Linked DNA regions of Drosophila melanogaster. Changing the gene in region 1 together with any one later gene gives a genetic interaction. Each region holds a gene or a part of one and is shown on either strand. Other genes may lie near its edges.

What was found.
Region 2: of tut (region 1) and Wdr33, changing one enhances a phenotype caused by changing the other (phenotypic enhancement), as found in Drosophila melanogaster (one study listed by BioGRID).
Region 3: of tut (region 1) and Sym, changing one enhances a phenotype caused by changing the other (phenotypic enhancement), as found in Drosophila melanogaster (one study listed by BioGRID).
Region 4: of tut (region 1) and CG4612, changing one enhances a phenotype caused by changing the other (phenotypic enhancement), as found in Drosophila melanogaster (one study listed by BioGRID).

Annotation. Positions count from the first base shown.
Region 1 is NT_037436.4:8,208,047-8,213,790, reverse strand, and holds tut (tumorous testis), read left to right. Parts: upstream 1-3,047; 5' UTR 3,048-3,119; coding exon 3,120-3,233; intron 3,234-3,299; coding exon 3,300-3,478; intron 3,479-3,533; coding exon 3,534-3,933; 3' UTR 3,934-4,214; downstream 4,215-5,744. Other genes in the region: CG8006 (uncharacterized protein), read right to left, coding at 315-1,826. UniProt on the Drosophila melanogaster protein: RNA binding protein that forms a complex with bam and bgcn, involved in 3'UTR-dependent regulation of a subset of mRNAs. Preferentially binds a long isoform of mei-P26 transcripts.
Region 2 is NT_033777.3:5,658,102-5,667,209, reverse strand, and holds Wdr33 (WD repeat domain 33), read right to left. Parts: upstream 6,576-9,108; 5' UTR 6,385-6,575; intron 6,299-6,384; exon of another isoform or gene 6,286-6,298; 5' UTR 6,247-6,285; coding exon 5,962-6,246; intron 5,672-5,961; coding exon 5,402-5,671; intron 5,345-5,401; coding exon 5,193-5,344; intron 4,310-5,192; exon of another isoform or gene 4,148-4,309; coding exon 4,050-4,147; exon of another isoform or gene 3,994-4,049; coding exon 3,867-3,993; exon of another isoform or gene 3,792-3,866; coding exon 3,558-3,791; exon of another isoform or gene 3,493-3,557; coding exon 3,281-3,492; exon of another isoform or gene 3,218-3,280; coding exon 2,172-3,217; 3' UTR 2,041-2,171; downstream 1-2,040. Other genes in the region: Xe7, read left to right, coding at 1-112, 249-880, 953-1,012, 1,065-1,142, 1,235-1,688; CG2182 (uncharacterized protein), read left to right, coding at 7,580-7,675, 8,503-9,069.
Region 3 is NT_033777.3:5,737,008-5,745,716, forward strand, and holds Sym (symplekin), read right to left. Parts: upstream 5,470-8,709; 5' UTR 5,122-5,469; coding exon 5,035-5,121; intron 4,965-5,034; coding exon 4,771-4,964; intron 4,710-4,770; coding exon 2,587-4,709; intron 2,511-2,586; coding exon 1,588-2,510; intron 1,482-1,587; coding exon 1,311-1,481; 3' UTR 1,171-1,310; downstream 1-1,170. Other genes in the region: CG1236 (uncharacterized protein), read left to right, coding at 1-901; Madm (MLF1-adaptor molecule), read left to right, coding at 5,978-7,108, 7,961-8,709. UniProt on the Drosophila melanogaster protein: Component of a protein complex required for cotranscriptional processing of 3'-ends of polyadenylated and histone pre-mRNA. Involved in germline stem cell transit amplification, differentiation and mitosis-to-meiosis transition.
Region 4 is NT_033778.4:24,520,670-24,529,503, forward strand, and holds CG4612 (uncharacterized protein), read right to left. Parts: upstream 5,421-8,834; 5' UTR 5,046-5,420; intron 4,983-5,045; 5' UTR 4,804-4,982; coding exon 4,105-4,803; intron 3,874-4,104; coding exon 3,649-3,873; 3' UTR 1,205-3,648; downstream 1-1,204. Other genes in the region: Ir60d (ionotropic receptor 60d), read left to right, coding at 1-478; Brca2 (BRCA2, DNA repair associated), read left to right, coding at 5,632-6,376, 6,437-6,508, 6,568-8,666.

The DNA.
Region 1 (5,744 bases):
ATTCTATTTTAACCCTGTAACGCAGCTTCCGTTTCTGGTTTTCGCAAAGCTGCAACGGAAACATTGCATAACTAAAAAATAGCTGCTGTTTACGAGTAGATTGTTTGTTTATTGTGTAGTCATCTCCAGCTTTGGTCCCTTTCCCCAACTCGCCCGTTCACTTTGTATCCCTGTCAGCAGTTCTTAATTTAATAAAGCGTAGTATTTAAATTAATTAACGAGCAGCGTAGCTCGCGGTGTAAACGGGCTTACACAAAGGTGCAAAATGATATCAAAAATCTGGTGCGAGAAAAGTTGCGGATTCGCAGGATGCTTTACTGGAACAGTTGGTCCTTCTGGCGGAGCAGTGATTTGAGATCCCGGGCCAGCTGGTCGTGTTCATCCTCCAGGCGATCGAGCATCTTGCTAAGGACTTTATGCGTGACGATCCCGTGACAGTTGCTCCTGCACAGTTCCATGATCTTGGCCAGGTGGACCATTCGCTCCCGCTGCAACTCCTCCTGCAGCTCAATCTGGTGGCGCATCTGCTGTAGATCGTCCTCGTCGTACGATAGCTTCTGGGCCAAGATGCTTCTGCGATAAGTAAGCCAGGTGTTCTGTAGACATGCCATCACCTTATGGCGATACCACTTGAGCGCCACCCTCTCGAATCTTCGATCCAGAGCCTGTAGTTCCCAAAAATTACGAAGCCCAAATTTCTGGAAGCAGGTTTGGAAAAATCTCAACCGTTTGGATTTTCCGCGCCAGCGTTTCAGACGCTCCAAGGCCTTGTAGGCACCAACTATGAACCCTCTGACTCTCTGTTCAGCTTTCATAGTATCCATTGAGAGATCAGGCATGTCCATCACATCCTTCATCGTGCCATCCGAGTTGTAGTATGCCAAGCACTGGACACGCAGCTGTTCTCTACGCATCAGCAATCCCTGAACAGTTGGGTCCGTAACGCCAATAGGAGAATGGCATTGGGCACTGGCTCGCTCGGCAGGAACATCCTTATGAATCTTCTTTGGCGGCTTTGGCGGCGGAATCTTCGATTTATATTTTGATTCGATTGTGTTTTTCAAACGTTCGGCCATTTCCTCAAAGCAATCCCTCAGATTTTTCACAGCACTTGATCGGCGGTTGACCTGATCTATGACATTGGTGATCTTGATGAGTTTCTCTTGGGATAAGGAACTGGAGGAATGGGTTCTTCCGCTGTCAGGTGCATCCCGATTGAATGTGGAGCTCGATGGATGCTGCTTATTTCTCGAGAGCTCATACTCCAATAGTTCGACTCTCTTCTTCACAGTGTGACTATCAGCACCATTTGGGGACTCGAAGCCAGTCCTTGGATAAACTTGGCTATCCTTCGAGTCAGAGGATCGCGTATTTGTTTTTCGTATTATTGTCACAATGCTGGCAAAACTACTGGTCGTAGGATCATTTTCCGATTGTTCGGAAACCTCCTTGATGGGTTCCAGTTTCCTGGGTCGTAAAATTTGAGTCGAGCACTTCTTGAGCAGTGTAGGTGATTTGCCAGTAGCTAACTTCTTACATGGCTGGCCTCTGTACTCATCCAAAATTACGTTCAGATTCCTACTGTAGTTACGCACATCCGTGAACGGTTCCTTGAGCACTCCAAAGTCCTTCAAGTGGCCATGCATGAGCAGCATCAGGCTATTTCGGGCCAACTTCTCGCTGAGAGGAGCCTTCTCGAATATCTTTATCCATCTGGCCATGATGGGGCGATCCGACTGCTTAGCCCTTGCCTGATCGGCATACTTGTAACTGGCTAGCTGCTGCCTGAAATGGCGATCCAGTAACTCCTCGCTTAGATCCTTCATGGCCACATTCGCATATTCAACCGGAATCAACTGATTTTGTTCCCAAAAAATATTTGTAATTTTAATGATTTGAATAAAATGAAACCGCTTACTCAAATCGGGTAAGGAAATGCGGAAATATAAGTGGGACTAGTGGCCTTACTCGGCGACTGTCACCAAACGTCTCTCAACCGCAGAAAGGGGAGGGGGGTCAAAAGTGGAGCTCAGGGTTTCTCAGAGATGCTTCAAGTGGTGGGCCCACGTCTGGCAACAAGCACAAGGAGCAGCGACACTACACTTTAAACAAAGAATATCAGAGCTTACTTTTCAAAGAACTTAATGGATTTTCTTGTCGAAACACTCTTACCTGGTGCGTCTCTACACTACGTGGACTAAACTGGACTTCACAGTGATAGCTTTTGCATTTACCACTTCATTTAAGAAAACTGTTGTGTATTAATCTAACAACATGTTACCTCCCACAAATAGTTTAATGTCAGTAATTTGCTTATGGCCATTTCGAAACAATGAATTATTAGTGTAACAGCAGTAGCAACAAAACAGTATGCGGTTGCCACGTAAATTTTCATTAGCGCAGCGCGCGTATAAATTAGGAAAATGAAGCAGCAGCAGCGGCAGCAGGCACTTGAGTGCACCGCAACCTCCATCAAGATGCCCCCTGGTGGGGTGAGTGGGTGGTGGAGTGGGTGGCGGATGGGCGGCTTAACCGCAGCAACAACAACAGCGAATGCGATGCGAACCTACATACATACATACATAGGTGCTGCGGCTTGTGGCGAACTGTGAGCAAAAGTTGCAAACGACCGACTGCCTGCATAAATTTATATTGTTAAACATGAGCTAGAAAAAAGCACGCGCAGCCTGTCAAAAGAAAGCAAAAATAAAGAGCAAAGAAATTGCCTGACATGCAAAAAGCGGTTTGGAAAAAGAGTAAAGTAAATGCATAAAGTACATAGCAAAAATAGAATACCTTCGTATAGAGCTGAGTTCGCAGCAATGCCAAAAAAAGACCTCTTACGCAAAAATATAATATGAAAACACTCTCTATTTTACACAAATGTTAAACATTCAAACAAGTTCATAAACAATAATAAGTTTATGCCCCTCCGTTACTTTACCTAAGTGTTAAGTATAAAGAATTTTACCAACTTCATTGACTATCTGGCAACGTCGCGAGCGTTGTATGTTTTAAAGCTTATTTGGTCACACTAAATCATTGGCATCTTAGCTTTTTTTTTTTTTTTTGATGCACGCGTGTATGCTGTGTATTTTTTTTTTTTTGCTATTTTTAAAATGGATTTCGAGAGCAAATACTGCACCAGTCAAGTAAATGGCACTATTACCATAACTACGCGCAAAGTCCTTGATGAAAATCTAAAATCCTTACTGGATGAGGGAAAGGGCGAGGTGAGTGTCTAGTGAAGCATCTAGTCTCAAAAGTTTACGGAGACACTAATACGTTTTTGCTTCTAGCTGTTTCTCTCGTGTATACCGAGGAATCACAGTTGTTCTCCGCGGTGGATTGTGGAAGTGGCCAGCGAACTGGGTGAAGTTTACATTATGCGCTATAAGATTGATTTTTCGGGAAATTCTCGCGGCTACGCCTACTTGCAATATATCAATGTGGACCTCAAGGAATCGGCAATGCAATAGTACGTACTTCGTAATAATTTTCACATAAAACAGCACTAACCCTAATAATCCCAGTCTGCCAATGCGATTCCGACAGCTTTGCATGTGCTTAAGGGTGGAGCCATCGACCAACAATCGCGAGCTGGTGCTCAAAAACGTAGAATCGTCGCTTAGACCATGGCAAGTGTACCAGGAGATGTTGAAGATACATCCCTTTACCATCGTTCGAGTCTACGAGTATCAATTAGACCAGTTCTTCTATATATTTGAGTACCGCAACAACGACTCGGCCGCAAGTGCCCATCAGAGAGTAAGGAATTCGATCAGAAAATTCGGTGAGCATGCGCACATCTCCTGGTTGACTGCGGAGAACATCTTGAGCAGAGCCAGCGGTAGCTTCTGTTTTCAACGGGAAGTAAGCCAAAATCGTACTCGACGCGTTCCTCCCAGACAAAAGGGCTGTTTCAAGTTTTAAATGGAAGTGGTATCAAGTATGTTACTTTATTGGTTCATGCTACCAAATCCATAAGGCTCCAAATGTTTTGTTTGTACTACACGTAAGTAGGACGAAAATGTATAAAATACTTTAATACTTTAGTTATATTTTTTCTATTGTTAAATAAGTTTATAAGTAAAATAAGAGTACTCTTAAATAAGTCAACCATTTAGATATGAATGAAGATGTTTATTGCTTGATTTGTGTAAGTTTTTGTAATACGTGGAATTTGAAAACAAGAATATGTGTTTTGCAAAGTTAATCTCTGATTTTTTAATGAAATTTTAAAGCCAAATATCAAATCACTTTTAGAATGCATACTATACCTTAAAAAAAAACTAACCAAGCGGATTTTGGAATTCCTGTGGCTCTCTGGGCAGTAAATTATGTTGCTGCCCATGCGAATGTAACATAAACTTTCACCAGTTGTTAGGACAGGGGGAAATTATACACAGCATTGTTCCTGGCAAATCCTTTTGGCCCGCCGCTTCTCACTCTGATGAAATGCAGCCGCAGCTTGTTGACTTCATTAACTCTGGGCAAAAACAGCGAGCAGCCATAAAAATAAAAAAAAATAAAAAAAACAACACCGACAGCGCAGCGAAGCTGCAGTTTTTCACATGCAAATTAATGCAGTGTCTTTGGAGTGGCGGAGTGGCAGCCAGGACTTTCAGGGCAATGCGACAACCTGCGGCATAATGCAATTAAATGAGTGCAGCGAGCAGGAGTCGACGCTAGCCTCCGGCTGGCATTGTGTTGGACACGGTGTCTGGGTACCGGGTCTGACTCCAGATTACGGGTCTCCAAAGTGCAATGATCGACGGACGGGAGTGGAGGGAGCGCAAGACATCCGTCAGGCGAAGGATGCACAGGACGCGAGGTGCGAGGGACAGGTCCGCTGCGCATTCTAATGCGATTGCCGCACTTGACGGGATGTCGTGGCAGGCGGAAACGGATGTTGTTGTCCTGCTCAGCTCTGCACGGTTGCAATTAAATTAGAGCCTCAAATCGAAATGCAGCCGTAACATGATGATGCAAAAATAAGAAGCGACTGGCATATTCTGGAAGCCTCATAAATATTCATTGAATTAAGCTTAAGTCGAGACATCCTCTCGGGGCATTCAGGGAAAAACAAGCCGAGCTGAATGTTTTCCAAAATCATTTGCATTAATTTGTTAATTCAAGCGCGACAGCCACGCCCCTGTTCACTCGCTTAAAGCCCATTAAAATTTCAAAGCCATGCGAGGGATTGTACGAGTCTTAACCCATTGGCAATCCCCGGCGCAAAGCACTCCTCCGCTCGCCGTCGAAGGGTTAAAGTCATGAAGCCGCATCTGTGACGCAATTACAAAGGCTCGAAGTTTGCTTCTAATTTTGCTCTACTTGCCATCATAAAGTCATCCGTTTTTCAACTTACAGATGGGAGCCAAACAATAGTTTCCTTTACTTTTTATATCCTTAAAATTCGCGAAACCAATGAAAAAACAAAGTTAAGTTAAAATACGTTTTATTTTATCGGAATAGTGAAGATCTTGGTAACCATAAGAATTGTACTTTACATGCTTGAAAAACAGAGATATAAAATATATATATTACATGATAGTCTTATTGTGGTGCCCCTGCTTTCCTGGTCACCACTGTGGTGTGACCCATTTTCGAGTCTGCGATGGAGGGCAACTCAGCCAGAGCTTACCTGGTTATTGCGGCAAGTGCCAATATTTGCCTTTCGATGCGAGCGGCAAAGAATATAAGGGGGACGTATAGTGTTGTCGAAGGAGCGGTACTGGGGC
Region 2 (9,108 bases), on another chromosome or scaffold:
CGGCCAAGTGGAGATCTCGCAAAAGATTCGCATCGAGGAGCGCAAGCTGATGATAGCGCAGCGCAAGCTGGAGAGCATACGGACTCTGGAAAAACTATTTGAGCGGATACAGGTGGGCAAAAGTTAAAACCTAAAAGTCAATGTTGTATTTTAAATGAAAAGTTAAATGAAATATCGAAAAATTCGTTTTCTTTTTAAAAGTACAGCAGTGATAATAATACTTTTTTATATTTTATTCTTTAATACAGCTAAAACAAAGGGACAAAAACCGGCGAGTCAAACAAGATGATGACAAGGACATCCAACGTGGTCGTCTGGTCGAAAAGTACAAGGCTGCCACTGAGAAACTTGTTTGTGATCAGCGCAAAATCGTACAGGAAATAAAAAGCAATACTCCTCTTTTGGGCCTTCTGAAGAGCAAAAGCAAGAAGAGCGCTGTGCCCGTAGACGCCAGCAGCGAAGACGAAGCGGCGGCCAGTAAGCGACACAAAATGGGAAACGGCGTAACAGAATCTGCGCCACCAGGCGATGTCAACTCTGCTCTGAACCCTTTGAATGCGGTGGCCGCAATGGCCGCTGGCGCGGTTCCGGGACCAGGAGGTTACAGTGCTAAGGTTGCCAGCGAATGGATGCAGTCGCTTTCGATGTTCGGATACGGCCTGCCGGGAGTTTTTACCGGAGCGCTTTATCGGCCACCTGCACCGTTCCCAGTCTCAAGCAATTATCGTGGCTTTGCTCCGAGACCTCGCGGTCGTGGAAGAGGTCGTGGCATCGGCATAAGAGGGAGTCGTTCCGGATATGACACGTATTACAACACGAAGCACGATCGCTACGACGACGAGAACGAGAATGGCTACTACCACCGGTCTTCGCGGGGGAGGTACGAATCCAGCATAAAGTTTGTGTTACACTTAAGTCAAATGTTTTTTTTTTTACACTTTGTGATTTTCAGAAATAGGTCGCGTTCCTCATCGTCGTATTCAAGGAGTCGAAGCCGCTCCCGGGGACGCCGGTAATTAATGCGTGATGCTTATAATCTCTATAGATTACTATTAAAAATATAGAATTGTTTGTCGTTCCAGGCGCTCGAAGTCACGAAGTCGCTCCCACTACCGAAAGTCATCTTACTCATCGAGATCCAGGTAAATTTAAAATAAAGGACCTTCCCAGTTCCTTCGCTTACCTTTTTTTTAATTTTTACTATTAATGTTCCCGAATATTCAATTGCTTTCAGGCGCAGCCACAGCAGATCCTCCCGCAGCCGCAGCAAAACGCCGTCACAGCGCAAGAATCGAAAGCTGGCGTCTACGCGCCGATCTCGTTCCAGCAGCTATTCCCGGTCGCGATCACGCTCGCACTCCCGCAGGCAATCTAGCTCCCGCCGGGATCACCGGGGCCGACATCGTAGCAGTCGCAGTAACAGCAGAAGCCGCAGCCATACGCCGAAAGAAGTCATCCTGGAGGCCGACAAGCTGGTGGCTTCTGCCGAGAAAATACAGCGCACCATCGACCAGCACACCAAGGATCGAATGCGCGAGGAGGAGCGTGAGATCAAGGAGAAGTTCAGACACCCACGTACCAACAGCCACAGCAGCAACCACATGGACGCCGAACCGCAAGGCGAAGCCAGCGAAAGACGTGGCAGCATCAGTAGCCGCAGCAGTCGTCGCAACTCACTTGCTGTCTGAAACGTATTCACTAGTTTCGTTGTTAGTAGGAGTTCCATTAATAAAGTAAATCAAAGTTGTTCTCCAACTACACTTGTCTTGTGTATTTTCAGTTTTATTAAAATTAAGTTAGCGAATTTGTGCAAAGTATCTCATCATTTACTAAAACATCAAATTGTAATTATCGGAATTAATTAAAAGAACTGCCAATACAGTACCTAAAATGCTAACTTTCATCTTCAACCTAAATGGTTCGAAAACCAGAATAAAATGTTAAATCTTGATTATTCCTAGAGAAACAAATATCCATGTAAGTAAAATTCCTATTCCAGAGACTCCATTGTAAAAAACTCTTAAAAAAAGTCGGAAAATTACACACAACACGTATAATATATTACAAACCGAATTTCTTTTCTTTTCTTTTCATAATATAAATTGATTTCAGCATTACAAAGCAAAAGATGCAAAGGAGATTGGCAGAAAACAGTGTTGGTGGGATAGCGATTAGTAACGTCTGTTGTTGTTGCGACCGCGATTTCGGCCACTGCCCCCGCCACCTCCTCCACCACTTCCACCGCCGTTGCCAGGACCGGAGTTGTTGATGCCACGCCGGCGACGTTGGCCACCGCCACCGCGATCCCGGTCGTTGAAACTTTCCGCGCCATTGTTGCTAAAGCCATTGGATCCATTGCCATTGCCACCAGGATTGCCATTGTTCGACCAGGGTGCATTGGAAGCCCAGGGATTGGGCCTGCCACCGGATTGGTCTCTCTCCCGTTCGCGAGCGCGCTCCCGCTCCCTGTCGCGATCTCCTTCTCGTTCGCGATCCCGATCCCTTTGCTCCAGCGGCGGTTCATCCACAAACTCCGTGTTGGGTTGCTGTGCTTTCGCCGCGACCAGTGACTGCAGAAAGGGCTTTTTACATTGCATTAGTTCTCGAACGCACACCAACTGGGCGTTATGCTGACGTGGTTCGAAGCGGGACTTCTTGGTGGGCGGGGAGACCATCTCCCCACGTGCCTCCACTGTGGGTGATACAGATCTGGACCTATCCCTCACTGGGACTACATCGTTGAGCTCCTCCAGCTTGCCAGCGTCGATGTACTTGTTGAGAAACTCGGCTCCCTGACGAATAGCAGCCATCAGTCGAGAGTCCGGGTGAACGCGAATGAACCGGTTGTACACGAGAACGCCGACAATGGTCTGTGGATCGAGGCCGTTGAGCATGCCGCTGGCCAGGATGCCCTCCATTGTGTTCTCGCTGATTTGCTGGTGGTTCAGTCCATTGGTGGTGTCCTTGGCCTCTCGGGCGGCCAGCTCCTCGTGAATGCTGAGCACGCTGGGATCGTCCGCTCGCCGGGGTCCTGCCCAGTTCACCTGGAAATTGCGGGGAATGGGCTTGCTGTAGGGAACCTTTTTCTCCCGGTCGCGGTCATTTATTGCTTTGCTTGGATCCAAATCCAAGCCAGGAATAAAGCCTTTGTCGGCAGTTAAACTTTCAGTAAACTCCACCCGGTCCTCGGGTCCCATTCCGGGTATAATTGCATCATCTGTTGGGAGAAAAGGGTATATAAAAGCATTGGTTTTGTAGGTCAAAAAAAGGGATAACAGACCGTATTCACACTCATCCAGAGCAGCCAGGCTGGCGGGCAATGTGTTCAGATTGTATTTGTCTCTCATCAGGTCTCCCGGTCTGTTCCTCGTCCAGAATTTGATCGTATGATCATTGGAGCCGGAGCACAGAATGTGACCCAGTGGGTGCCAGGCCAGAGTCCAAACGATGCTGTCGTGTGCCGTCTCCACACAGCCGATCTCCTTGTCGGTACTGCGAGCGGGGATTGTCATTAATCCACTTATCTTTTAAAGTGTAAACAGAATGCTAAGACCCACCCAACATTCCAAAACAAAATGGAGCCATCGGAGCCGCCGGAGCAGAAGAGGCCTTCGTGTATGGGATGCCAGGATACGGAGCTGGCCTCCTTCTTGTGGCCACGGAAGACCTGAACCTCCTCACGCAGGTTGCGAATGTCGAAGAGCTTGAGCAGATGATCTCTGGATGCGGTTACCAGCCAGTTGCCATTGTCGTTCCACTTCAGATCCATCACGGTGGATTTGTGGGCGTGTCTATTGATGATTGAAAAAATGTGAGTATGTGCAGTAGAATCCATGATAAAGATTCATCCAAAAAGAAATACTCACAGAGTAGCCAGGGCAATGCCGCTCTTGGGATCCCAAATCTTGATGGGTTGCTGGTTGTCCTTGCTTCCGCTGACGATCATTCCCTTTTGTGGATGCCAGTGCACGCACTTGACGTCAGCACCGTGGCCTTTTTGAGATACATGGTTAGACTCTGTATTGGGACTACCTCCTACTAAATCTCACCTCGTAGCACTCGCTCCTCCTGGCACCGCATGAAGTCCCATATCCTCAGGGTTCCGTCGTCGCTGCCGCTGACGAACTTGCTGTCCGTGGGACTGAAACTGAGTTTGGTGGATTGCATTGGAGAACGTTAGAACGTAACAAAACACGGGTTAAATGATGATAATGAGTGTGGGCGGAGTTAGTTTGATGAATTGATTGATTAAACTTTAAATTCAGGATCAAGTTTTACTTGACTAGGTACGCGAAGCTCACAATAATATAATACAATATAAACTCTTTACAGTGCGTAAAACATTTGACTTCCAAAAATCGATCTAGAATCATCATTTCATTTTAAGTGACACGAAACAATATAATATAAAATCTTTTACCGGCCTGTTGCAAAATAAAATGTTTAAATATGCTTTAAAAATTTATTTTTGACTTACAGATATCGAATAAATAAATCCTCTTAAATTACAGTGAATGTAAAATAATTGAGCGTATTAAAAGTTACCAAAAGATTTTCTTCAAAAAAAGTAAATTGTTACCAGCACAGCTCTAAATAATTTATATAAATATAATGCCGATTTTCTTGATCGATTGTCCTTGGGCCAGGATTATTCGGCAGTCTTGAGAAAGAAAACACTCAAACCCCCGATTTTTCGAACAATCAGTGCAACACAATGCATTTTATTTATTGTTGATTTTGTGGCCGCGGAAAGAAAATTGTGCAAAGGTTTCATTTGTTCTCAGTCAGATGGTTTTATTGTTAGCTTTTCTCAATATTGCATTTGCATCATTTCACTTTGTCTTTTTATTTTTCATTTTTTATTGATATATCACAGAAGAGTTCGGTGCTTACAACATATTTGAGTCTTTTTGTTCTAGTGGAGGCGAGGTTAAAACTTATGTAGCCAATAAGGCGAAGCTATATGTTGGCATGTTGCTATATTGACGGCTTTATTGATATGTATTCGCAACAGCCCTAAAGGGAACCGATCCACTAAGTTGATTAGGCAACAATAAATACCCATGACTGCCCAAGCGACCCAAACTAAAGGAATTATGTGAGCAACGCGAATCTGGCTTTGGTTTTGCCTTGGTCGGCTGGTGTCATCGGCTACAAAATGGTAAATACATTCGACAATTACAACTATATACCTTATTCCCCTAATCGCCTCCTTGTGCGCCTGGTACATCTTCACGTTGTTCATGTTGGACTGCCAGTACTTAACATAGCCGCCATGGTCGCCGGTCACCATCCAGCTGTCGTTGTGCGACCACACCATCGTCCGCACAGAAATGTCGTGGGCCTGTTGGGCAACATAAGATTAGACGTGATCCCACGGGATCTGCTGACGGAAACCCACCTGCAGAATGGTCTCGAAATTAAAGGTTAGTCCGTTCCATAGCGTAAACTCGCCGGAACTGGCCCCGGTTACCAAACGTCTGCCCTCTGGCGTCCAGGCCAGTGTGAAAATCGGACATCGCATCTTATTGGTAGCCGTCTTCACGAACCTTGTGGTCACCGCGTTCGAAGGATTGTCCAAGTAGGCAGAGGGCGGCAGCATATGGGGCACATAAATGCTGTCCGGCTGCAAAGCCAAACGGTCCCGATAGTCCCGCTGGTACAATCGGTTCTGCGAAAACAAAAATATATTTTTGAAATTTTAAAATGGGATATCGACATAACAAGGTCCGAAACTAATTAAAAATGGTAGCCCAGGTAACGGGCTTACCGCGTATTAACCTACAAAATGTTATAGCGATTGGCCTTTTAAATGTGTAGCTCTAGTAATGGTTTTTGAAATGAACTTTTTTAATGGGGGTGAATTGATCTTATAATAATAATAACAATACAATTCTCTGCGACTACAAATCAAAACTTCGCAGTCAATCTACTTCCATTCTAAATGACCTATGGAATCACCTCCAGTGCCTTGATGATGGACGCGTTGTAGTCAACTGTCTTCCGCATCACACTTTTTCGCAGTCGCTTGCCGTCGAAGTCGTCCTGGGACATTCCGAAGGGTCGCTGGAAGCCGCCGGGCATGAAGGGTTTGAACTGGTTGTAGCCGTGCTTGTTGGACCCATGGTGCGGATGGTAGTGACGGTAGTGCTGGCCGCCCATGTTCGGCGGGGGCAGCGATGTGAAGTTGGTGGCCAGGGCCGAGGGCGCCGTGAGCAGCTGCGGTGGCGGCTGGGATACGTCCATGTTGCGGCTGTTTTTTCCAATGCCTCTTTTTCCGCTTGGCTGCAAAAAATGTCTTCGCCCGCACACAAACACACACACAGATGAAGGCGTAGTGGGCGTATTAGTTGGACGCTATTACCCACGCAAAGCTCTACTTACTCGTGTTTTCTAGAGTGTTGGCATTGGCGCGGTGGTGGGTGTACTAATGCTTAGACTAAATAGGTAAAAACGACCTGCAAATCGCCGCGTTGCAAATAACTAGTAACTTTCCGAACAACGCGAATTTGAGGAATTCACGACGAAACGCGGACACCAGCGTGTGCTTCGATTGCAATGTTATCGATATATAACAGCAGTCAGGAGTTGAATCAATTTTATTTATCTTTATGGCCTTACAATTTAATTGTCAGTTTTATGCATGCTTATCTTATTTCTTTGAAAGATTTGTAAGAGTTGTCACCACTGTTTTTCTCAGGTTCTTATTTATTTTTTCTTAATAATATTTAAAAACTAAACATTCAGCAAAAATTGGTTCTTCTGATCTCGATATGTTTGTGGTAGCGATAGTAGCGTAGCGATAGTAGCGTAGCGATAGTGTGCTGCCAGACAGGCCTATCCAACTAATTTTAAATTATTGAATAAATAAATCATATTTTTTATTTTTAGTTTTAGTTTACTTACGGTAAATGTACTTTGCCTCCGCTAGTTACACAGTCACCAGTTTTAGGTTTTCTTTATCAGCATTCAGCAAAGAATACATTATTCTTACAATATTTTCTGGAAATAATTTTCAATCAATAAAAATAGCCGTTAAGAAAAGTGAATGACAGTAATGCGACTAAGAGATTCGAATGCTACGAATATTAATGCGGGTATTTGACTGAAAAACCACTGACTAACTTATGTTTACATTTTAAGATGCAAGTCCGAAAATATAATGAAATATTCGAAAAATATATTGTGTTCACGATCTTAGGCAGATATAATATCGCGATATAAATACTAATATATCGCTTGGATACCTCGATACATTGATATATTATCAACACCCCCTACTGGCAACTCTGCTCCGTTTTAATGGCGACCGGACCGACTTGCTGCCTACTACGTGTTTGACATAGAAGACACTTTTGTAGCCGATTCTAGAGCGTTCCCAAAGCCACTCGAACTGCGCAGAGAGTGGATATTGTTGTCAAAACACTATTTGTGAATACGCACGCTGCTGCCATACGCCAGTCGATTCTGATCTCCATTTCCCACACCCGGACCTCTAGAGAAAAGTGTGTGTCTGTGTCGCAAAGTGCCTGAATTTTCGTTTTGCCCGTCGTTGGCTCGCGAAGTCAAATTACCCATAATGGCCAGACTCACAAAGGTCTACAACACGGACGACGACGACTCCGGTTACGTTGGTCGCAGAAATTTGCCCCTGGTGGCTGGCGATAAATTAATGGTAAGCATATATCCGCACCGATTTCCGCTATATGTACGGCCGTCTATCCAAAGAAAATGACTGCCAGCAGAGAACACACGTACACAGACGCACACACAACAGAGACGTCCGCTGTGAGTGTGTGCGTGCACTTGGTCCAAAAACTTTCATAACACGGCGGATTGTTATGTGTAAGTGGCGGATGGTGACGAAGTGTGAGTTCGCTTCTCTTTGCTTTGAATTGGTGTGTATCGTGCATTTATTAATTGAACTTGAGCTGCAATTATGATTCTGCACCTGTCACCACCCACCGAACTCTTCTTTCTCCGCCTCCCTGGCCACGGCCGCCATGTTGCTGGAAAGTGCAACAACACGAACCTGTTTGTATGCACATCGCATGCACTCCGTCACCATCTCTAGAGGTGATGATCTCTCAGGCTCAGATTCTCTGGCCAAAATCTCTAGTTAATGACATCGGTTGCACACCCGACCCCTATTGTTATCGATACGTTTGAAGGTGGATTTATGCCAGTGTCCAGAGCTCCGTTAGTTTTTTCAAAGAACAGCTGTTGTTTTGTATGTATTGTATGTTTTCTCGGATTATTATATTTAATGCAAACAATTAGACGTTATATTAATACTGTCGGTCATTTCACCGCAAATATCATTGGATCGCGATCCTAATTATTTATTTACTTACAGCGTTGGATAAAAGTTCTTTATAATACTAATGTAAACATATCAGTTGTTCTTTGCTAACTAGTGCATTCGATCAAATAGATCAGATACTCACAATACCATTTATGTACCATAACCTCCCCTGATTAAATTCTCTACTTTCTCTGCAGATGCTCATGGACCTGAACAGCAAAGGTCTAGTGATCGACAGTCCGCTGATCCGCGGACGTGAACTGGAGGAGTTTTCACGGAAATTCAAACTGCTCACAGAGGCCGAGCGCCGGCAATCGCTGGAGATCGACAGTGCCAGTTTTATGGAAGTCCTCAATCAATGTGTCCAGTGCGTTGGCTGCCGCAGACGCGTAGAGCGGTTGTTTCACCAACTAACCGAGACGGGGCACCGAACACTTGATCCGCTGGAACTGCGACCCACTGCCACCCTGGGCATTGTGGAGGAGAAGCTTAAGACTCCGCAGGCACTGGGAACGCTGCTCTACCGGCACCATGAGGTTCTCAACAACCTGCTGGACAACAAACTGCGAAACAAGACGCGCTGCGTTCTTCATTCGCTGGACGCCTTTCGTGCCAAACCCTTTTCGGAGACATGGCGAGAGGTGTGGTCCGCCATGAAGAGTAACTGCCGCAACGAGTTAACCATCATCGAGACAAAGGAATTGCACGACGTACTGGAGAACTACCTGAAGAAGCACAAGTTTTGCTCTGGCTGCCGTACAAAGGTTAGATATAGGATATTAAAATTAATGACCTGAATTGAT
Region 3 (8,709 bases), on another chromosome or scaffold:
CCAAGTGAGTACCTGGCATGAGACCAATCCGGTGCCCCGCTCCGAGCTTATCCGCGTCGTGGCCGGAAAAGATGCCCTTTACTGCGCTCTAACGGACAAGGTTGACAAGGAAGTCTTGGATGCTGCCGGTCCTCAGTTGAAGTGCGTGGCAACTATTTCGGTGGGTTACGATCACATCGACGTGGAGGAGTGCAGGAAACGTGGAATTCGAGTGGGCTTCACACCGGACGTCCTAACGGATGCCACGGCAGAATTAACGCTTGCCCTGCTTCTGGCCACCAACCGCCGACTATTCGAGGCCAACAAGCAGGTTTACAACGGCGGCTGGAAGTCGTGGGCCCCCATGTGGATGTGCGGCCAGGGACTGAAGGGCTCCCGGGTCGGCCTGCTGGGCTTCGGCCGCATCGGCCAAGAGATAGCGGCACGCATTGTGCCATTTAAGCCGACGGAGATAACATACACAACACGATCACTGCGCCCCAAGGAGGCGGCTGCTGTGAATGCCCGGCACGTGGACTTTGACGAGATGCTTCGCGAGTCGGACTTAATCGTAGTCTGTTGCGCCCTAACCCCGGAGACTAAGGAAATCTTCAATGCCACTGCCTTTCAGAAGATGAAGCCCAACTGCATTCTTATCAACACGGCGCGTGGTGGCGTTGTAGACCAGAAGGCCCTGTACGAGGCACTGAAAACCAAACGAATTCTAGCAGCTGGTCTGGATGTAACGACGCCGGAGCCATTGCCAATCGACGATCCTCTTCTGAAACTGGATAATGTGGTTATTCTCCCCCACATTGGCAGCGCTGACATCGAAACGCGCAAGGAAATGTCCCGGATTACAGCCAGAAATATTCTTGCTGCCTTAGCTGGCGATAAAATGGTAGCCGAAGTAGAGCTGTAAGCCGTGTAATCTCAGCGTACAATGAATTTTTTCCACATCTTTTTAAAAACATCTGTTTGTAATTATGTACAATGTTCTAATTAAATATTTCGTACTTTCAAAGGTATTTTAAAGGTACTGAAATTATTGAAACACTTGTATTACGCCGATGACAGTGCTCGCAATGAACTGATCCGTAAATGGTCGTGGCCACTCAGAATCGAAATTTTTGTGTTATTTGCGTGGGGTATACTCCCAATCTTTTGATCATTAACAAACAAAATTATATTCCTTTATAATGTATGTGGGTGCGGTCAAGACCTTGGTTTTATGTATTATCGCCTAGAACAGTGAGTTTATAAAATTATAGACCTTATCTTATTAAGTAATTTAAAAATGTGTATGAGCAAACAAAACAATTAAACTGCAACTAGTCCTCGCCAGGCGGCAGGGGCTGGTTAAGATCACTGCCTATGGGGGGAGGAACTGGTAGTGGTACTAGAGACGTCAGTACGGGCACTGTGGAAATGACACTAATTTCTGATGGATCCGGTGCCTCTTTTTTAATATGCTCGGCACTGATGTAACCGCCGCTTTCGTCCTGAAAAGAAGATACTCGTATGTAGTAGCTGAACGTCTTCGATATTGGTTCGGTATTTGAGTTACTATTATTTCATTTAAGACTAAATCAAAAAATGCATAGTTACCGTCACGAACACATCAACTGATTTCCCGGAGATGATGTCCAGAACCTGCTGGGTTATACCACTACCATTCATTGGTTCATCCTGCATGCTCTCCGCGTATTCCGACAATGCTGGCCTTAAATCGGGGCACTGCTGCAGTGCGTCCACCAGCTGGGCGGGAGGAAGGTGCAGCAGGATCGGCATTGACTGCGGTTTCAGGCGCTGCACGGTCTTTAAAAAGCCCTCCCAGATTACTTTTTGCCGCCAGACCTGCTTGATTATCAGACGCTGCAACAAGTTCATTACAAAGTTTGCCAGACGCGGGTACAGAGTTAGACTCTGAATTGTTGTGCGCATCATCAGAGTAGGCAGCGGAGTAACCTCTACAAGCTGTTGCAGCACAGCCATAAGTACCTCCTGTGTGTACAGATCTCTTTCAGCCAAACATAGGGATGTAGCCTTAACGATGGCTTTAATATCGCAGACACTCGTATCGATGGTGTGCAAAGCCACGAGAATATCAGTGGGGGTCATGGCCATCGTCTGATGCGCGAATTCGGCACCGATACCAAGCAATCGATTGAAAACCTCCTTGACCACAGCGGGATTAAGTTTAATCAGCTTCGGCAGAACGGAAATTAGCTCGGATCGGGTTAAGCCACTTAGCACGGGTATCATCACGCGCACATCCTTGACCTTGTTCTGGTAGAGATCCCGAACCCGCCGAACCAATTCTTCATGGGGGGATGGCACTCGCTCTGTCAGTATGTAAATTATACGGATCACTAAGGTCTCCATACCCTTAGGACAATCCTCGATTAGTTGCAGCAACGTCGGGCTTTCTACACCCATCTTTTTTATGGGAATATCTAGACTGCGCAAGATCGTGCGTTTCAGTTCGGCAGATGTAGAAACAAACACTTGACAAATTTGCTGTAAGTAAACTATCAGGGGAAGAGAATATTAAGAAATTGATTTAATAGTTTTTTTCTTCTTTAATACGGGACAGCAACAACTTACCTTCCGGTTTATAGGGCAGCAGGGTAAAGGCCAAACCAAAGCACACCTTGGTAGTGTCTTCCCGCCAATCAGGCTCCTCGGTTGGTCGACCAAAGTCCTGCGAGAAAACAGCTGCCGGCGGAGATTCCTGTTCGATAAATTTAAGCCACTCCAGAGCGAATTCGTCTATTCGAGCCGGTAGTATTTTGTGTACATGGTACAGACTGACCAGGTGGGCCTGTGCCAGATCCCGCAGATCCAGTCGCTCATGCACAGAAAAGTTGAGCAACACTCTAACGAAACGATTCTTTCGCGGCGGCCTAAGCACTGCAAGGTCCTTGATTAGCTCCAGGCCGTGCTGGGAGAACTCGTCGTCCAGGCTTAATTGAACTAGATGTCCAATTGAGACTTCCGGAAGAATGGGTGCTTCTAGATATACTCGACGAATCAAAATAATCTTATCCTTGTGATCGCAACGCTCTCCAATGCCGAAGATAAGCTTATTCAGCAACTCGTTGTAGGCGTGATCGGGTCTGTTCTCTGTCTTAACATAAGTGTGCCTTGTAAATCCTTGCAGCAGAGAGTACTCCTCAAAGAGCCAGGAAAATGCCAAATCGATACGCTGTTTTATATCCTCCAGGATGAACTCCATGATGCCGTAACGTACGTTATCGGGAAAGGTGGCAGCAATCACGGTGACCAGCTTACGGCGCTTTGATGACACTCCTCCCTTAATGCATTGCCGCTCCGAGTTGAGGATGCGACGCACTGCATCAGTTAGGAACTTCTCTTTTAAGTTGCGTGGCAGAGGCTTGGTGATCTCCTGCAGCTTCAGCGTCTTGGCGCGCTCCTTCATCTTTTCAATAACAGTCTGCTCACCCTTGGCGCGCTCCATGGTCTCGCGCAGCTTCTTGGTTGCTTCCTCCTTACGCTGAAACTCTTCCTCACTCAGTTTTTGAACAGCATCCTCGTCCACTTCCATTGCAGTTAGTGTTGATTCAATCGCTTGCACTTTCTTAACCCGCATTGGCGGCTCTCGACTGAAGGTTGCGGCACCTGGGCCTAGGCGCTTTTCAGATAGTTGTTCGCCAAAAAATCTGGAGATATTGGTTACCTGCTGCTGAATAGACATTTCGCGAATGGGTGTATATTCCTGAAGGAACTTTTGTGGCACCTCAGTGGGCAGACTGGGCAGGAACTCCAGCACCAGGGTCACAACAGTTTCAGGATTACGGAAATGCTCTGCCAGAAACTTTTCGTTAACTCGAGTAGACTTCTGTTTCTGTCGTTCCAATTCCTCAGTGTCTAGCTCCATTTCTCGCTGCTGCTGATCCTGCTGCTCACAGGCCAAGCGCGCACGCTTTGCAAGACTTTGCGCAGCATTTTCGAGGATGCGTTTTTGTCTACGAGCCATTTCCTGTTTGTCCATTTTGGGAATAAGCTTCTGGATCTCATTTGTGGAGGACCCCAGATCAACTAACATTCCTCGGATAGTGCTTGCAAACTCAAAGGCACCGCGGTTCTTCAGCAATGTCTGCAACTGCATCTTAAGGCTCTTACGCACGGAGCTTACTTGCGAGTCAGTGAGGGTGGGCGGCAGGTTGGCATTCAGCTGCTTAAAGGCTTCCACCACGGCGCCCATGAAAATGGGTCGCATTTTGGCAATTGTACACAAGCTGCTTGTGCAGGCAATCAAGTTCACTGAGGAAATATGCGTTGTTCCGTGGAACTGAAGCAAGATATCTAAAATATTGTTGCCCTCCTCTTGCAACTTTTCACGGCGGAATAGTGTGCAGTGATCGGGGACATCTGCCAGCGAGAAGTCTCCATCTCGTTTCAGACTGTCCTCGTCAGCAAAGCTCTGCAGAACCACGACGCCCTCCAAGAACTTAATGGCATTTGTACGTATGCCGTCGTTTTCATTGTCGATCATGTCCAGTATTTGCGCCTTGATTAAGCTGAGGATGTTCCACGCCTGCTCCGCACTGTCGCCGGGCTCCATGAGGCTGCACAAGTACTGCAATCCATTCTTGTAGATGCTACCGCAGGCTTGGATCACTCTTTTGATTACCTGAGCCGAGTTATCCCTAAGCAGCATAGACACGACGTTAATGACATGGGGCAGTAACTCCACCTTCACTTTACTGGGATGGAAAATATAAATCGTTTCAGCAAGAAGTTAGATCCTTTGATGGAAATCCTTACCAAACTTGCTCTACGAAGGCGACTACCTGCTTGCGAACCTCCATGTTTGAGTCGTGGGCCAAAGACAGCACGGACTCCAGGAATTCTTCGGCCAGCTCCGCGCACGATCCAAGCACAGTCTCCTGCACCTTAGCCAGCAGTTCGCACTTTGTCGAAGGCGATGCGATGACCAGCTCATTGCACCAATCGACCACCTGAATGGGAAAATATATGGTACAATACAGCAGTCCGGACTGTCTTGTCTGATTAAGATTTGTGTTCTACCTTAGCTCTTGCCGTAGCTGTCTTCTCGTCTGTGAACAGATTGGCCGTCTCCGAGACAAACTGGCTGCGTCCAATTATGCTATCCATGTTTGGTTAATTGATGCAGATTTTGCCTAAATCTGCGATACTTCGGATATTTTTAAGAGCTGCCGGCACGGATGGCAAGGTGTTATCGGTACCATTGAGAAACTATCGAAAACGGTTCTATGATGTTGGTAATTCTGCATATTTCCGGACCATCTAGCTATTTTTTGCCAGCTCTTAATGTGTTCAAAAGAAAAAGAATATTTTACTAAAAACTTGGCTTATAATCAAATGAACCGCCTGCAAACTAATTTTCCTTGCTCGTTACCGTATAAAAAATTAATAAATCACATAAATTAAGCCATTTTTGGCATATCTCAGCTTAACGCGTTATTATCGATGAGCATGCCGCAGTTGCGCTGGCCGAGCGATATGCGGGGGTGACTATCGATAAGCCAGAGGCATCGATTTGCTCACATTTCTTGGGTGTTTTAGCGTGAAAAAAACGCCTAAATAAACGAATCGGCAGCGTGTCAGGCCAGAAAGTGCAACAAACGGATCGCAGTTCGCGACGCAGTCGAGGATTGGAACAGAAGACGCCGTCGAAGGTGCCGAAAAACGTCCCAGCAACCGCCAGCCGTCGCAGCGGAGTGTTTACTGGGCGAGGGGTGCAGTGGATGAGCTGTGTGGGCGCGTGCGTGTGTATGTGTGCGCCAGTGAGTGGGGCAGAGGCAGCGGCAGAGGAGCAGCGGCGGATGTAGCTCGTTGCCCGGACCCCGTAGTGGATACCACGAAAAGCTAGCGCAAACGTAGGCAGTCCAACAAAGAAAATAAACACTGGAAACCGAAGACGACGAGGCCTTCTGGAACTGGAACAGCACTGCTCAACAGCCGCAGCCGCGTCGGTGACCGCACCCTAATGTCAAATAGCCAAGCGAATGCCGGCATCAGCGGTAGCACGGTAGCGGATGAACCCATCCAGCACCACCCTTCCTTGGCGGCCGGCCCCGTAAGTGCATCCTGCCCAGCAGCGACCCCGCCGTCGCAGTCGACGCAGCAGCCCCCGCCGCACATAGTTAGTGCCTCAACAGCTGATGCGGGCAGCAGCGCTGCGGTCGGCGTCGGCGTCGTAGCTGGCAGCGAGGGCGTCAATCTGGACTCGTCGCCACGCGAGTCCGGGGACGATTCGGAGGATGAGAGCGAGATTTTGGAGGAGTCGCCATGTGGACGCTGGCTGAAGCGACGCGAGGAGGTGGATCAGCGTGACGTACCCGGTATTGACTGCGTCCATCTGGCCATGGACACCGAGGAGGGCGTAGAGGTCGTGTGGAATGAGGTGCAATATGCCAGCCTACAGGAGCTGAAGTCGCAGGAGGAGAAGATGCGGCAGGTGTTCGACAATCTGCTGCAGCTGGACCACCAAAACATTGTCAAGTTCCACCGCTACTGGACGGACACGCAGCAGGCCGAGCGACCCAGGGTGGTCTTTATCACCGAGTACATGTCGAGCGGATCGCTGAAACAGTTCCTCAAGCGCACCAAGCGCAACGCCAAGCGGCTACCGCTGGAGTCGTGGCGCCGGTGGTGCACTCAGATTTTGTCCGCACTCAGCTATTTGCATTCCTGCTCGCCGCCCATCATCCACGGCAATTTAACCTGTGATAGCATCTTCATCCAGCACAACGGCCTGGTCAAGATCGGCTCGGTGGTCCCGGACGCGGTCCACTACAGCGTCCGGCGCGGCCGAGAGCGGGAGCGTGAACGCGAACGAGGCGCCCACTACTTCCAGGCGCCCGAGTACGGCGCCGCCGACCAGTTGACCGCCGCCCTCGACATCTACGCCTTCGGGATGTGTGCCCTGGAGATGGCCGCCCTGGAAATCCAGCCCAGTAACAGCGAGTCAACTGCCATCAACGAGGAGACCATCCAGCGCACAATCTTTAGCCTGGAAAACGATCTGCAGCGCGACCTGATACGAAAGTGTCTCAACCCGCAGCCGCAGGACCGACCCAGCGCCAATGATCTGCTCTTTCACCCATTGCTTTTCGAGGTGAGTTTTCAAGTCAATTATCTTGTTCTAAATGCTATAAATTCAAGACCCGCATAACAATTGCCTTGTCAACTAGACCTTGCATTCTAATTCTCGGATCCATCGAGTGAGAGATTTAGTTTAATAAGACACCTGATATTATTAAATTTTATTTTAAGTAAATAATTGAAATCTGAAGATTTGAATAATTATATGATTTAAATGCACCGTTAAATATTTAAGTTCTAAATTTGGTTTTATCCGAATCATATCGTAAATTATCTTAGAATTTAATATATTATATTCATGTGTATATTATATATATATGTATATAAATGGAAGGAGAACTAGTAATCAGTTGATAATTCTACAATCCATTTTGACTGTAGTATATTATTTATTGCTCACAGTCACTTATATCTTAAGTTCAAGTTGTGGTTAATATGTAACTATACATTTTATTTTGATTACTGAGGGTCTGTTGTTTTATTTTCATACCTGTTACTATATTCGTTAAGAGGAAATTAACGGGTAGAAGGAATCGTTTTCAGCCCTATATTGTTAGCGATTCTTCATTAGAATCGTCCACTCCAACGGAAACCCCATAGAACTGCCACGCCGATACTTTGGTCTTATTTGTCTTGTCAATATCCATTGGTATGCCATTTTAAAGTGTGGAAACTTCTCGTTTGCACTTCAACTTGAGTCTGATATTCGAGAAAAACAGTGTAGCGTTCGCTCTTGTTGACTTTAAAATATAAATTTGTACATGGTTCAAATGACATTGCAAGGTATTCTTATAACACTTTTATAAAGGTAATTAACTGAAAAACTCAGTAGTTAATAATCAATTTTTTGCTGCTATTACTACAGGTGCACTCCCTCAAACTGCTGACTGCCCATTGCCTGGTCTTCTCGCCCGCCAACCGCACTATGTTCTCGGAAACCGCCTTCGACGGCCTCATGCAGCGATACTACCAGCCGGACGTGGTTATGGCCCAGCTGCGGCTGGCCGGCGGCCAGGAGCGGCAGTACCGACTCGCAGACGTTTCAGGCGCCGATAAGCTGGAAAAGTTCGTCGAGGACGTGAAGTATGGTGTGTATCCGCTAATTACGTACAGCGGCAAGAAGCCGCCCAACTTCCGTTCCCGGGCCGCCTCCCCGGAACGGGCTGACTCCGTAAAATCGGCCACGCCGGAGCCTGTGGACACGGAGTCGCGGCGCATCGTTAACATGATGTGCAGCGTTAAAATCAAAGAGGATAGCAATGACATAACCATGACAATACTGCTGCGCATGGACGACAAGATGAACCGCCAACTGACATGCCAGGTGAACGAGAACGATACGGCGGCGGATCTCACCAGCGAACTGGTGCGCCTCGGTTTCGTCCACCTCGACGACCAGGACAAGATCCAGGTGCTGCTGGAGGAAACGCTTAAAGCGGGCGTTATGAGCGACGGTGCCGGGGCAGAGAGCTCCGGTGCGGGGGTGACGACCACGGCGACCATGGCGGCCTTGGAGCAGCTGGAGCGCAACTGGTCGATATCCTCGGATGCAGACAAGCAGGGCACTGCCGTGATGTATGTACCGCAGGAGCAGCAGAACGCGGACGGGGACGT
Region 4 (8,834 bases), on another chromosome or scaffold:
CTACGGCAGTATATTTCAGCTCACGAACTCGACGGATTTCCAGAGAAGGCGCATCTCAATGGATCCCTCCTACGCCTACCCAGTGACCACCAGCCTTTGGCCCTTTCTAGAGCTGTCCCAAGTGAGGCTACGGCGACCCCTATTCCGACGATCCTACGACATGGTGCTCCAGCCTTTTCAAGTTATGTCTTTGCCGCTGCCACGGAACTCAATTTTCCACAAGTCCCTTCTCCGCTATGCTGCTCTAACTCGCGAGACCGGACTGTACTATTACTGGTTCCGGCGCAGCTACTACGAACTGGTGGCTCTCGGGAAGATCTCGTACAAGGAGGAGGAGGGTAACCCGTACTGCGATCTCAAGTGGAACGACTTTCGTATCGTGTGGCTGGCCTTCCTGGGAGGAACTATCATTAGTTGTCTGGCGCTCCTATTGGAGGTAGCTCACTACAGGTGGCACTTGGGGAACTCCTCACTCTAAACGGATTATTCGTATCTCCCCAACCAGACTACCAATAAAGGCCACATTACCACGAATGAATGCTAAACGTTCTCTCATTTGCACGGGTTAATGGTTACAGATTTAGTCTTGCCCGTGATTGGAAATTTATTACCAACTCCCAACTACCAACTAGTTTCGGCCCTATAAATGCAGCCCAGCCAGAACTTTTGCAGAAATATGCCGAAGTCGTTGCTTCTAAGATGCGGTTCCATTTAAATATAGCAAACAGTGGTTTGCTTGGGCTTCACTTGTGCCCAACAAGAAGTGCTTTACCTGAACAAAATCCTTGTTTCTCTAAGGCTGGAGCTGTCATTTGAAACCTTACTCTTCCTTGGAGGCGCTGGAGGGAACGATGTCTGCTGGGAGCACTTCGACCTTGAACGCTACCCACACCTGAACTTCAATGCTAATCAAAGTATCTACCTTAAAGGAAGAGTCAGCAGGAAAATGCTAGCTCTGGTTTGCCTGGATTCTGCTGAGGAGACAAACTGAACTACACCGTGGATCCCGCGCCATCGCCCTACCACGATCGCCCTATCACGACCTGTACTACGTTTGGATTGCCTACTTGGGAGGCACCATGATCGGCATAGGGATGCTAGCTGTGGAGATCGCTTGCTTCAAGTGGGATCTATTGAGACGACCACCCATTTAAATGTACTAAGGATAAATCAAATCAAGTTTATAATTAAGAACTCGACGGGTCGCAATTTCAAACACTTTTTGCAAAAGCATTTTTTTATTCAAGTTTCACATGTCTCTGCTCACTGCATCTTGATTTTCATCGTTAAATGTTTTCCGTTTCTTGTTCTTTTTCATTTTTCATTTTTCATTATTCATTTTCGATTGTTTTTAGGTTTGTTAATAAGTAGGTATTCGTAATATGTTATAATTAGGATTTCGCTTCAATGGAATTACATATATAATGCATATATTATACGCCATCCGTGTCGCTATTATCTGTGCTCCTTGTGGGTTCGCTAGTCATTAAAATCGGACTTCGAGGGGCACAAACGCCCCAGTCCAAGCAAAGGTTCAAATAAACTAGGATCTTGTGAGTAGATTCGAATGCAGGTGTCGTGTGTGGTGTGGCATGGTGGTGTCTCATTAGCAAACGTGCACAATTGATTAAACTTGGTGTGGAGTGTGGGATTCAAAATGGGACTCGAAATGGGACTATCAATTAATTTTGTGAGACTGAACAAACATTTCTTGTACTCTAAAAATTTAGCACTATAAAAGGGTTATCCTTGGGTGTTTCTTTCCTTAGTTTCTCGTTTATTTTGTTTTTAGGTAAATTCTGCAAAAGCAATTACCAAAGATGAAGTTCGATTACAATTATAATTCGTAATAATAATAATAAGAAGTATGTTGCATTTGCTTGGCAAAGGAAAATAAATTTCATTTCTTTCTCTTTTGTTTTGTACATTCGTGTAAATATTATTCAATTGCGTAATTTCTCCTGCTTGTCTTGTAAATTCATATTGCATATGTTCTGTGTGAGTTACACTGTGGAGGCCTAATCCTACTTTGTCCTGGAAACTAGAGTCGTAACATCGCCAGCTCCCCGGGGAGCGGGCAACCTAAGCTCAAAATGAAGTGTAATGGAAATAAATATGGTCAAATGAGGGTTCGTTAATTATGCCATCCTAAATATTGCCATCGTTATAACTATTTTATGTCGTTTAATTTTCCTCTTTTGTGTGTGGTACTGTTTAACTATACATTGTGTATATGTCTAGACGCAAAACTTGAATCTTACAAATTTCGAGTGAGTTTAGCGTTGTAGGGTATCTTAATAATTTCCTCTTACTTTTCACTTTGCTCTCGTTTTCTGTTCTCGGAAACACTTTAAAAATTAAGCTCAATAATCTTAAATTATGCATGTATTTGCTTTCATTTCAAACTTGTACACACGCCTGCCTACATACAGCGTGCTTTGAATTATTTCGATTTTGCGATTTCTTTCGTGCCTTGTATCCATAATAATATTCTAAAAGATTTAAACATTGCACTGTGTACACTTCTTCTTGGATTGGTTACATTCAATTAGTTTTTCACTTTCATCTTGTTCACGTTACATTACGGTCGTTACTGTCTTGCTGTCCTGTTTTGTGGTTTCACTTTAGTTTCTGCTACTTGAAACAATGTACAATTAATTACAAAAATGTCTTGTAATCGCTAAAATTTTAATACTCATGTACTGTCCGCAGGATAGGCGCTGGGCCCCTGCTAATTCCATATCGGATCTCTCCTCTCCAGCTCTGACCTATTCCTCGTCCGCATCGGCGTCTACTCTATAAATTACGTGTAGGGTTCGCTTTCGCAATGGTTGCACTTGATTTCCTCGTCAAAAGTTTAGTTATAGCGTAGGGAGTTGTGAGTATTATAAACGCTTTCTAACTACAGCGTGTGGAGTTACATTAGATATATGTATATGTTATGTATATACGTGGAGTGGGTGCTTCACTTGTTAATAGGGGTTACATCAATTGTATTTTTTCCGTTTTTCCATTTTGTTTTTTGTTCTTTTTTTGTTTGTTTTCGTTTTGCTTTGTTTCTTGGTTTAGTTTGGTTTTAATACATATATATTAGGTAAGTGTAAATATTCATATGTTGCCCAGGACTGAGCTGGGCGTAGCTCTAGTTGCGATCGCACGATCTAGACTTAATGCCAAGGGGCCAGTGTGAAAGTTGGCCTTGTGTGGGTAAATACATTTCGAAATACGTGTGTGTACGCAATGTGTTCTTTAGGCGAGAAGCTGACAGCAAAGCCCCTGCTCACTAAATTCAACAGTAAAGACAAACATCTAATTCCAAAAAAACGCTAGTGAGTGCTAAGAAATTGTTGTCCTAATGCCTAGAAAATCCTTTCGGTTGAGAGCTCGTTTTCTGCCTCTCCCTCCCTTTGTTTCTGCCCTGTGTTCTTTCTATAAATTTCAACTGTGTTGCAAGACTTTTGCCTACATCTAAGTGTATATGCGAAGGAGCTGCCTCCCGTCCGTCTGCTGCCTGAATGTCCGCCTAGCTGCTCGATACAATTTCTCGTAAATATCTATATAGGTTTATATATGGGTGTGTATTGTATGTGTGTGGGTTCCAAGTCAACTCCTAGCGATGTCCTTGGATCAGCTGCCGCCGCCGAAGCCTTAGTAGTAGAATATCTGGCCGGCCTTCTGCCGCTTGCGCTCCTCCAGCTTGCGATTGATCTCCTGCTGCCGCTCGGCCTTGCTGAGGGCTCTTGCCACGTACAAGAACTTGTTGTCGCCCAGCTGCTTGCCGTGCAGGCCAATTACGGCGGCCAGCGCCGACTGTGGGTTCTCGTAGGCGACGAAACCGAAACGCCGGGAGCGCCCCTCCTCGTCCAGCATGAGCTGCAAGGATCGGAGAAAGCAAATCGATGATATAAACAAATTAGCACAGATGGGCCAGGTGGAGTCCTCATCTTCCCCGCCGTCACAAACTCCTCGTGGCTACATGGGCATGCGCAGCAATGGCGCAAGAGAGGACTTAAGAGAGTGCAAAACTGTGCCACATGGTTGTCGTCCAACCACCCGGCCCCACGAACATCCCCGTAGGGAAGATGAGGTGACCAAACAACGTACCTTGTGACTGGTGATGCGGCCGTAGGGCTCGAACATCTCGCGCAAATGCTGCTCGGTGAACTCCTCGCTGAGGTTCTTCACATACAGATTCTTGAAGTGCGTGGCCTTCTCCTGCTCCCGGTCCCGCCGTGGTATGAACTTGACCACATGCACCTTCTGATTATTGCACAGCATCCCATTCACCTTCTCGATGGCCGCTCGGGCGGCCTCCTCCGAATCGAAATGCACAAACCCATAGCCGCGTGAATTGCCATCCTCGTCTTTGGCCACATTGCAGTTTAGGATGTTTCCGAACACCGAGAACGTGTCGTACACCGCCTTGTTGTCGATGGACCGCTCCAGGTTCTTGATATAGATCTTGCCACTGTCCGGAGAGCTGTTGCCTCCGCTGCCCCCAGTGGAGCCGCTAGCCAGAGCTCCCCCGCCGACTCCCACGCCCACATTGGCCGAGTGCGAGGACGTGGACGTGTGCCCGCTGCCCAGGGAGTTGTGGCCATGCCGTCCGAGAACAGCGGCGGCCGCCAGGTGGTTACTGGCTGCGTGCCCACCGCCGACGTGGCTCAGGTGACCAGCTGCAGCGGCGTGGTGGTGCAGCTGCTGCTGGTGGTGCGCCGCTGCCAGCGTGTGGTGGTTCAGGGCCGGCTGCTGCTGGTGGTAGTTCGCCGGATTGCCGCGGAACGTCATGGAGTTGACGAACATAATGGCTGCTGGCTGTTTGTGGAGCGTGGTGGCGGCTAGTGGAGTGCTGTAGGTGCTGTAGGTGGATTCTGCGTCCTGGTGGCCGTGGCTCTGGATCTGGATACCGCTGTAGATGGGCCCGAGAATCTTGACGGCGTTCTTGTCCTGGTCCTAGTATTTCACTTCACTTCCCGATTTACCTGGGATGTCGGGAATCTGCGTTATGGCCAATCTAGTCGTAATCCAGCGGAATGCCCACTTACCAGGATTTGCACACGGAATATGACCAAGGATTCGCGGAGTTGAAAAAATCGTTTTTCTCTCGCACAGACTCTTTTCAACGCTCTTCGCTCTCTCTTTCTTTACCTCTCTGGCTCTTCCTTTCGCTCTTTTGTACTTTACTTTTTCTGGGGGCTTTCACTTTTGGGCTGATTCTTTGGGGCTCTGCTGGGCTTTCGCGTAACACTTTCCGGTATTGTTTTCGAGTGGCACCTAAACTAGACTCTTCAGCAATTGCAGCAGTGTAAAACCTGGTTTTTGCAGCTTCGGCGATGGCCCTTTATTATTTAATTGTATTTTATGCAAAAACTGTCGCTACTAGTGATTAGTGATGTTAAAAAACATCGATGCATCTGCCATCGATACGTGAGGCCTTCATGTTCTTGGCCATACCATCGATGACTTTCTCGCTCCCGATTGCTTAGCAAGTCCACCCTCCACAGTTAGCGGATAATGGCCATCAAAGCAACGCTTACCAACACTGCACCCCTTGTTTTGGAAATGCAACCACAAAAGCATTGGACACTTGCTTACTTCAAATAAAACACATTTAAACAATTAGATGACGTGATGGACCAGAATGGCGCATCGGGAAGTCATCCGAACAGGCTATCCCAAGGAAGAGGAGCCCATGCGCGCGAACGTGGCGCCACAGTTTCCGCGGCGGCAAATCGGAGTAACATTATCGACGAAATGGCCAAAATATGCGAAGCCGATCGCCAGACTTTCGCCATCGCTCGACGGACTCGGGGTCACGAGCGGCTTGCGGTGGACAACAGCGACTTCGTCGCCGTGGAGGATCTTATTTTGTCCTACGCAGAGCCCACGCCCGAGGACCAGGTCGAGATGATCATGAGCGACTTTTGCTCGTCTCCAACATACGCAGAGGATGAGGATGAGCCCAGCCATGAGTCGGAGCCGTGGTTTCGATTTCGCAACAAAAGGATCAGAACCTACAGCCGGAAGAGGGATCCCAAAAGCCACAAGGCCGTTCAAAACGAGAAGCGTAGAGGTTCCTCAGGCCTCTCCGTGCAGAGGGATCTCAATACTTCGTTCACATCTATGGCTTGTGATTTCGATGCTTCATCACAGAAGATACACGAGGTCCTTTTGAACCTCAGTCAATACTTTTCCGCGACCGCGACAGCTTCCGGTCCGACTCCTGTCCCATCGCAAATAGATCTGCCAACCGAAGCAAGGCAGGATTCTGGTGACGAGTGTTTCAACGCTGAATTGGAGAACTTGAGGGATGACCTGTTGCAGAGCGGATTTACATTTGAGGCCTCTTTCTATGAAAATGAGCATGAGCAGGAAGGTAGGGAGTGGGATCGATATGGCAAGAAACACATTTGTAACTCCTTTTATATGTACGTAGGTCCAGGAACTATGGCAGACACTATTTATGGCGATAGCATGCAATCGGTTCCCACTACGCGCCTCCGATTGGGTAATTCATATGCAATTTATGTTGTTGCGAAGTTCATTAATATAAACCCTTATTTATAGAAAGTGGAAAACGTAATGTTTGGTCTGATGCAGACTCTACATTGAAAAAAGCTGATGTCGAAATTGCTGAAAATAAGAAACTTTTGATGGGCCAAACGCAAGCAAAAAATGTTGACATAGAGGAGAACACAAACTTCATATTAGAAGGCATACCACTAAGTGAATGGCTAACTCCGATGGAACTGCCCGAGATCTCCAAAGATGTAATCAAACATATACCCGATAAAAAGTTAAAGTTGGAGCCAAGTTCCCAGAAAGAACAAAAAAGTAGCAAAGATTCAAATGCATCAAAGGTTAGAGGAGCCTCAAAACAATCTTGTGATATTAACACGAAAAACGAAGGAACTACTATTCTGGATCAGCCTAATGCTGCAGAGCAAGAAAACCTATTGAACGACGGCGAGCTTCTTGAGGAGTTTCTTTTTAATGATTGGCAACCAATGCAGTGCTCTAATGGCCCATCAACCTCCAAAAACGCAATTCAAGGGCCTAAAGAAAACATCAATTCAATAAATCTGGACGACAAGGAGCAACCAGAAAAGCAGACTCCTAATAAAAGTCAGACCATAAGCAGTCATCAACTTAATGGCATTCGAAAGAAGTCCTTCAAATTTATCGAGGTTTCGGAAGAAATGAAAATTAAAGGCGAAGAGTTTGTAGACAAAGTTGTATCCGGCCTATATCACTTTAGTCACAAGTGCAACTTACGTACTGAGGAATACTCCGATAATCATAGTCAAGTAATGGAATCAACACAGTGTGCGGAATTCAAATCAGCCCCAAGCAAGCCCATCGAAATATTGGATGGTAAGGAAACCTACAATGCAATAGCTAAAGTTGACGTTGGAGAAATAAATGGAAAATTCAGTCCTCTCAATAACGATACTATAGCAGAGCCCGAGTTTTGTGGCTTTCGCACAGCCTCAAATAAGGCAATTCCGATTTCTGAGAAGATGAAAATCAAAACTGCAGAGTTTATGGCTGAGTTTCAATCCAAAGAAACAATTCAACAAAATGATTATTTAGTCCATCAGCCAAATGACAAACCGACGTCTGTTGGACTTGATACAGCCTTAAAAAGATCAATAGAGAGTTCAGAGGAAATGCGATCGAAAGCTTCCAAGTTGGTGGTCGTTGATACTACAATGCGGGAACCGCATCAACCCACACTTGACCCAGTTTGCCGTGACTTAAATGAATCACAGTTTTTCGGCTTTAGAACAGCGTCAAACAAAGCCATTGAGATTACCGAGGCGATGGAGAAGAGAGGAGCCATGTTTCTGGCCCAGTCTAAAGCTACAGACCAATTAAACGGGTGGCAGCCAAGCGATTTTCCTGATGTTCTACCCACCTCTCCAAACAATGAGATTCATTCAATAAATGTTGAAAATAATAAGGCTGTGAATACTAAAACCGTATCTGAGACCGAATTCTTCGGCTTTCGTACCGCTTCAAATAAAGGAATTGTGATTTCGGAAAATACGAAAATCAAAGTTGCACAGTTCATGAGTGAATTTCAAGCCGCCGATGCAAGCACTGACTCGAACCAACCAACTGTGATCTCTGAGGAATCGAGAAATATTGATGCCAAGTTCGTAGATGAAGCGGCGGCAGAAGACAGTGCCAACAAGCCAACTTTTTGCAATGTACAAAGTCTAAAAAATACCTCAGATATTGAGCATTTCAAACACGACTTCTTCGTGGAGCATTCTGCAAAGGAAGAGCATCCGCTGTGTAGCCAGCCATTGGTGAGGACACCCAGAAGGTCGCAGGAGATCCACTCCTCACTATCGCAACTTGCCGGCAAATCACCACTGGACCAGGCCACCAAGAAGTCCGTAATAGCTCGCCGGAACCTCCTGTCACTAAAAAGAAAGCGAAAGATCATTTTGTCAACTGAAACTTCCACTTCCTGCGCCTTACCCACTATGGAGCGATTCGCTCCCAAGCCTTCCTCGACAAGTACTCCGCTGGCCGACAGGGACTTAAATCGCTCCAAGGACTGTACAAAGAATAGACAGGATGCGGAGGACATGTCCCCTATTTGCATGCAACCCAAAAAGAGTCGAAGACTTGGTCTGAGTCGAAGTCGCTATTAGTACACATTAAGTAAGCGTTGCTTTATACCCAAAATATTTAAACCGCTGGCCGATTTGAAATGGGTAGAGATTTAGTTGAATTAATTAAGGTATGCCATTAGTGGTCTCATCATGACAGATTGAATAATTGTATAAGTTATCATAATAAGCGTTTTTTGTTAAGTGCAC